Linked DNA regions of Oryctolagus cuniculus. The protein of the gene in region 2 interacts with the protein of the main gene of each other region in a pairwise test. Links are inferred from orthologs where the notes say so. Each region holds a gene or a part of one and is shown on either strand. Other genes may lie near its edges.

Region 1 (3,653 bases), on a different chromosome or scaffold from region 2:
AGTTTTTATTGTTTACTATCATGTGCAACAACTGCAACTTTTTATTCTGTACATAGACAGTAATATTAAATGTGCAAATAAATCATGATTTAGTAATCCTTAGATGTCACAAATTAGGAAGTTACAGCCATACTTTACTGATAAATTGTCTAAGTAGTAGTGAGAACAGAAGCCAATTTATCTTGGTTTGAAGAGCAGCCATGAAGGGAGGAAATAGAGACCATGTTAAGATGAATTTGTAAAAATGGCTGAATGAAAAGGAAAATGCGTCAACATAGTGATAGTCGGAGAGGCAGTGGAGTCAAAAGTGTTGTGGGCTACGTTGGGCCTACAAATGTATTGCAGATTGTTGCCTTTTACTTAGAAAAGAATTATAAATACAGGCACAAACAGACGTGCAATGCAACAATGTTTATTTACCAAGTGAGGAAAATACACAGGCATTTATGGGCTTTATTTTGGGAGAGTTGGCCAGGAAAGGTAAAGAGGGACTTTCGCTCTGGGGCTACAAGGAGGGAGCTTTCGCTTCACCCAATTTCTTATGAGCTTAGAAACAGAAGTGTTTACATGGTACTGCCCTAGGTCCCAATTAAGGTAACTACTTCCTGGTGAAGAGGTCGTTTGATTGACAGGTGGGTGGATATGATTACACAGAGTGGGGGAGGTGTGGCTTCTCCTCATGAACTTTATCTTTCTAGCTGACTTATCCTATGTCAAAAGATATTTTTAAATAACAAGAGTTCTGGACCTGTTGGAGGCTGAGGAAGAGATACAGGTATGGAGTCATCAGGTCTTCAAATAGAAGATCTGGTCTTGGACCAGAGGAAAGAAGGCATCTGCCATATGAAAGAAAAAGGTTAAAGGATGGGGTTGCAGGGGTCTAAGGGGGAAAAAAGGGGGGAAGGTGTTTAATTCAGTTGTATAAAATATATTATCGAAGCAAACCTGTTACCCTCTTTCTTTTTCTCTTTCAGCTGTTTGGGGGCCTCGTCTGGATTTTGGTTGCCTCCTCCAACGTTCCTCTACCTCTGCTACAAGGATGGGTCATGTTTGTGTCTGTGGCAGCCTTTTTTTTCTCCCTCCTCTTTCTGGGCGTATTCCTGTCTGGCATGGTGACTCAAATTAATGCCAACTGGAACTTGCTGGTAAGAACTTTTTATTTGATGTATGTTGGAAAAAATGTGAGAAACTTATAAACATCTCATTTTATTCTGCCATACCCAAGTCCCTGTTCTGTCTGTCTGTTGACTCTGCTGGGAAAGAATAGGTCTGAACACAGGGGCCACTGTAATGCTGCATAGTTGCCTTGTGGGATGTCAGGATGCCACCTTGGGAAATGCTTGTATTAACTAAGAAATCATTCTGTTACTCCTTTATGACTTAGATGACTTTTACTCAAAAATTATTTCATTTCATACAACGAATGAATTGCATTATAAGTACTAAACAGCTGAACATTTACATTTGGAAGATGAATGCTGTAACATATATCTTGAAATTTTCCATTTATTTCTGCTTCAGCCATTTAAATATACAGATAGGTATACAAATATATACACAAATATGTATATATGTATATACACACACACTTTTTCAGGACACAATTAGTTATATATATATTGTTCTCTAAAATACTTAGGAAAAGGTCATGTTTTATGTGTATAATTAACTCCTGACTTAATGAAGAATTGATGAGTTTTTAAAAATGAATTTTCAATCAATACAATGCTTAATTATGATAACATTAAATTGGATCATCTTACTTCCTGTATTCCTGTGTAATATATGTAATATATGGAGCCTTTCTTTCATACCTGTGGTCATTCATTCTCTGAGACTGTTTCAGAATGGCCCAGTGTAGCATGAATTCTAGTCCATAGTAGGTAGTGCTTTAGTGAAGTTCATGAAGAACCTCCCCTAGATTCTGACCCCATTTTGTTGTTTAGAAACTTAACTCAGACCTTTAGTCAGTCTTTATCCACAGGGTACATCAAATAGTTCATGGAAAATAGAATATTTGGTATAAAAAGATCTGAAATCCATACATAGTCTTCTCATAATGTGGATATTTAAAATTTTTTAAAGATTTTATTCATTTGAAGGCAGAGTTATAGATAGAGAGGGGGAGGAACAAAGAGATCTTCCATCTGCTGGTTCACTCCCCAAATGGCCACAATGGCCAGGGCTGGGCCAACCGAAGCCAGAAACCAGGAGCTTCTTCTGGGCGTGTCATGTAGATTCAAGAGCCCAGGCACTTATGCCATCTTCCACTGCTTTCCCAGGTAGCTGGATCAGAAGTGGAGCAACTGGGACTTGAACCATTGCATATATGGCAGTGGCTTTGCCCACAACACCAGTCTCATTGTAACTTTCCACTGAATTTTTTAATTGACTTATTTATTTGAAATCCAGGAGAGGGATAGAGGGAGGGAAGGAGAGAGAGAGAGAGAGAGAGAGAGAGAGATCCATCCACTGGTTCATGCCCCAGTACCCACAACAGCCAGGGCTGACTCAGTGGAACTCCATCTGGTTCTCCCACATGGGTGTCAGGGCCTCAGGCACTGCACCAAGGCCATCTTCGCCTGCATGCCCAGGAAAATTAGCAGAGAGCTGGATCGGAAGTGGAGCAGTCAGTTCTCATATGGGATGCCAACATCACGTATGCTACAATGCTGGCCCTTCAATGGACTTTTTAAAGTACCTTTGTATGTTGCTGTCGAGTATAATAGCAATATATTCAGCAGAATTAGGTCAGATGTTAGCGGAAAATACATATGTACTTTATTTATAAAAGATGAGAGGAGAAATATCAACACAAATATTATCAGCAGCAAAATTCATTGAAAATGCCTGGCCTTTAAGCCAGCCCATGGGCAGGTGGCACCCAGTTCAGTTTAATAAAGCCAAGGAAGGAGTAGAATTCAGTGGTTACAATCATGCACATATTGTCATGCATGGGCATATGTCTGGCTTGCTTGATAGCTGTATAGTCTTGGTCAAAATAGTTAATATATCAGAATTTTTGTAAAATGCTACTAATGATATCTGTTTTACCAGATACTAGTGGGGGATATTGGAAATAATGAATTATACTTTGTGTCTAACTGATAGTAATGAAGCAGTAATGATGCAATACCTTAACCACACTGAGACTTGCAATTTAGATTCTTGAAAGTCCTTAGGTTTCTGAGATAGTGTGTTCCTGCATCTTTGACTTAATTTCTCATTAATAACAAAAATATTCCCAATTCTTGGTTATGTGATAAAAGTCAAGGGTCCTTATTTAGGCTACATATAGAGGCTTAAGCTTTTCTTTCCAAATGTCCAACTTCCCTATAAAAATGTATAAATGAATCAGTCTATGCCTAATGTTGGGCACCAAGTTCTTCTAGTATCAGGCCAGCATGTTCTACTTGTAGGCCTGCTGATGCTTCAATATTAGATAATTTACAGTCATTGCCAAAATTGATTTCATCTCACCAAATATTTTGACACCCACCATCCTATTTTGACCCTTCTTCTGGGACATTCCTGAATCTCCTAAGAGCCCAGCAACTAAAGGGTTATTACATGGACAAGTAGTGACTCCATGATCTTTCAATGGCCATATTCTTTCTAATTGGTTAGTGCACATGCCTCACTAATGTTTAAAT
Region 2 (3,653 bases):
AAACAGGGAGAGATAGAGAGATCTTCCCTCCACTGCTTCACTCCCCAAATGACCAAAGCCAGGGCCCAGGATCTTCATCCAGGTCTCCCATGTGTGTGGCAGGGTCCAAGGACTTGGGCCATCTTGTGCTGCTTTCTCAGGCACATTAGCAGGTAGCTGCATTGGAAGTAGAACAGCCAGTACTCGAACTGGATGCCAGCACTACAGGCGGCAGCTGAACCTGTTACACCATAGCACTGGCCCCATGCTGTATTTTTGGAACATCTGTTAATATTCTGTGGATCCAGGGGCCAGTGCCGTGGTGCAGGTTAAGCTGTCTCTTGCAGAGCCAGCAGCCTATATCAGAATGCTAATTCAGGGCCGGGACTCTGCTTCCATTCAGCTCCATGCTCATGTGCTGGTGAGGCAGTGAAAGATGGCCCAAGTGCTTGGGCCCCTGCACCCACTTGGGAGACCAGGATGGAGTTCTTGGGCCCTGGCTTCAGCCTGGCCAGAGTTGGCTGTTGTAACCATTTAGAGAGTGAACCAGGGGTAGAAGATCTCTCTGTCTGCCTTTCAAATAGATAATAAATAACTCTTTTTTTGAGATTTTTTTATTTATTTGAGAAGTAGAGTTACAGAGAGAGAGGGAGAGACAGAGAGAAAGGTCTTACTGGTTCACTCTCCAAATGGCTGCAACAACCAGAGCTGGACCAATCTAAAGCCAGGAGCCAGGAGCTTCTTCCAGGTCTCCCACATGGGTGCAGGGGCCCAAGAACTTGGGCCATCTTCTACTGCTCTCCCAGGCTGTAGCAGAGAGTTGGATTGGAAGAGGAACAGCTGGCACATGAAGCAGCAGCGATTCGGGATGCCGGCACCACAGGTAGAGATTCAGCCTACTATACCACAGTGCCAGTCCCAATAAATAAATTCAAAAATGTGTATTTTATGGATCTAGCTATAGAACTATAAAATTTGCTAATCCTAGTTTGAGAAAAGTTATTAATCAATTTTCTTCATTTTACTGATGAGAAAACTGAAGACTAGAGTGTGTCTAGTTATATAATTTGGAAATTCTGTAAATATCTCCTTAGAGAAATTCAAGATAAAAAATGTATACATGTATTTCTTGACAGAGTGACCACTTATTTCCAGCTTGGCATAAACAGTTGAAATTGATAATACAGTAGGGGAAGATCTTAAATTTATTTCAAAAATTTTTGGTTTTCTTAAAGACAGAAGAACTAGTTTTAGTCTGTTTAATATTGTACTGTATCATAACCTAAGACAATAATTATTAACATTTTTTTAGTTATAAACTGTTTGAGAATCTGAAAGCAAAGAAAACTCCACAGATTCTCCTCCAGGAAATATACAGGTGCACACAGCTTGCATAGGATTTCAAGGATTGCAGATGGTCTAAGCCTATCCCTGGACCTGTGGATATTAACCACACTTACTCTAGCACTGACAGTGTAAATCTGCAGATGGTTATTGTATGCCCTAAGCAGAGGAATACCAGAAGTATATACCATAAGGTCATTACTCAGAAGGGACTTAGAATTTCTGAAGACTTTAAAAGACTAACAGTAAGCAAGACTAACTTTACCTCACCTTAGAAATATTTATAGAAAAGCTTAGAATATGTGAAACATTCAATATACTTGGTGGTTAGTTCTCTAATGAGCAGTTAGGAAAACCATAATGTGCTTTATGTGAACCATGCCAGGTTATCTATATGGGAGTGGACATTATTATAGCTTCAAAATATGTCTTGCATTGATCAATGATTGTTCTGTCTGCTCACCCTGCCAGGCCATGAGTTCAGTAGGATACAGACTTTTTCATCCTGCCTTTTTAACGAAAATGCCAGAAAATGTTCTTTTTCTTCAGATGTATATACTGATACTTTATTTCCTAAGGCAGTATGGGATTTCAATGGAGGCCCAGTTAATGTGGTTTTGTAGACTGAAAGACTATAGGTGAACTTAAATGGACAGTATCTGAGATTGTTAACTAGAATATTTGAGACCCAGATCTGATCCCTGTTTTCCTGCAGTCCCTCCCCTGAAGAGCTGAGCTGTTTACAGGGTGACGTGAGTCTGGGCCTATACCACAGCTACCCAGTGGTGTGCGTACAAGGCCCTTTATGTGCTAATCCAAACCCAAGTCCCCAGTTCTCTACATGCTCTTTTCCTATTAGCCATTCTCCCATCTTGCCACATACTCTTTGTAGAGTTTTTCTTATGCCTAGAATTTCTTTTGACTTCCATCTTCGTCTCCCTTTTAAAAGTCCTACCCATTCTTCAAAGCCCAGATACCGCTTTCACCGTGAAGCCTCCATATGAGACTACCCTCTCCTTGGAAATTACAAAGCACTTCTTAATAACTTCCTGGTAGACTTTGCACTGCTTGCTTTGTGAGAGTTAGTTTTTTATGTATTTTATCTCACTAAAGGCCAGGTCTACACCTTGCTCATCTCTGTATCCCTTACAACACTTGTAAGAGTTTGAACTACTTAGTCCTAAGTAAACATTTGTTGAAAAATGTAAAACCACAGAGAAAATAGAAGATGTTTAGTACATAGTTAACATATATTATTACTTAGACATAGGAGTTGGTAGAGAGCATCCTCTAATGGGAAAACTTTATTTTGGAACTGGGACAAAGGTGGTAGGAAGGGCACTTGAATGCTGTGTCTCCCTTGCATGTCTGACCATTCATAGTTTCAGAATTGGTGCCCCACCTACCTCACCACCATTTCACAAGTGTCCTAGCTTTCATTTTACCCTGCCCTGCATAATGCCATTGGTGATTGTAAATGAAGTGGAAAGTCAGATGAGTTCATGTCTGAGTGTGATGATATAAAATATCAGATTGCTAAGGAATGATTTTTTTTTCCCCATTACAGGCATGTAATGAATTCACTACACATGTGATGAACCTTCTACGAGAACAGAGTAGAACACGTCCCATTTCCCCAAAAGAGATTGAAAGAATGGTGGGCATCATCCATCGAAAATTTAGTTCTATTCAGATGCAGCTCAAACAAAGCACTTGTGAAGCCGTTATGATTTTAAGATCAAGGTTCCTTGATGCCAGGTATGTGAGGTCATAAATAAATCTATTGCATGGCTCCACCCCGCTCCCTTTCCCCCTCCTTCACTCCTTTTATATAATTTTCTATGAGATCAGCCGGTTGCTCATCAGTTCTTGTTTAATTCGGCTATCAGAGCTCTTCTCTGCAGTGGACAGGTAAAACTCTGCTGTGAAGTCCCTTGATGTCTGGGGGTGGCTGTGCAGTGAGCTGCCAGTTTCGGATTCAGGAGACGGATAGAGTGAGCACTACTGCTTTCGGGCTAGGTAGCCTTTCAATTCTGATGCTAGACAGGATTTTTAAGGATAATTTTCTGCATATAATTCTGTTTTAACAATGGTATGTATGTCTAAGAATTCCTTAAAGTTATGTTGCTTGTACATATTATGAGAAAATACTTAGAGGTATTGATAGTCCTAAGCAGGAATTGGTATTTCACCTGATAGAAGTTACCATAAAATCCCAGACACTATCTTTCTAATCAAGTGAGAAAGTCTCTCAGTTTCTCCTGTAAGGATGAAATTTCCCTTTTATTTGAAGCTTTCACCAAGTTTCACAGCAGTTAGGTAATACGTTA

The links. The genes of interacting proteins can lie anywhere in the genome.
Region 1: the proteins of PBX3 (region 2) and MAL2 interact in a two-hybrid assay, tested with the Homo sapiens proteins (2 studies listed by BioGRID). The two-hybrid records come from large-scale screens. The link is inferred for Oryctolagus cuniculus from reciprocal best matches to the Homo sapiens genes PBX3 and MAL2.

What each region holds. Positions count from the first base shown.
Region 1 is NC_091437.1:145,023,442-145,027,094, forward strand, and holds part of MAL2 (protein MAL2), read left to right. Parts: intron 1-974; coding exon 975-1,145; intron 1,146-3,653. UniProt on the Homo sapiens protein: Member of the machinery of polarized transport. Required for the indirect transcytotic route at the step of the egress of the transcytosing cargo from perinuclear endosomes in order for it to travel to the apical surface via a raft-dependent pathway.
Region 2 is NC_091432.1:229,673,065-229,676,717, forward strand, and holds part of PBX3 (pre-B-cell leukemia transcription factor 3), read left to right. Parts: intron 1-2,890; coding exon 2,891-3,081; intron 3,082-3,653. UniProt on the Homo sapiens protein: Transcriptional activator that binds the sequence 5'-ATCAATCAA-3'.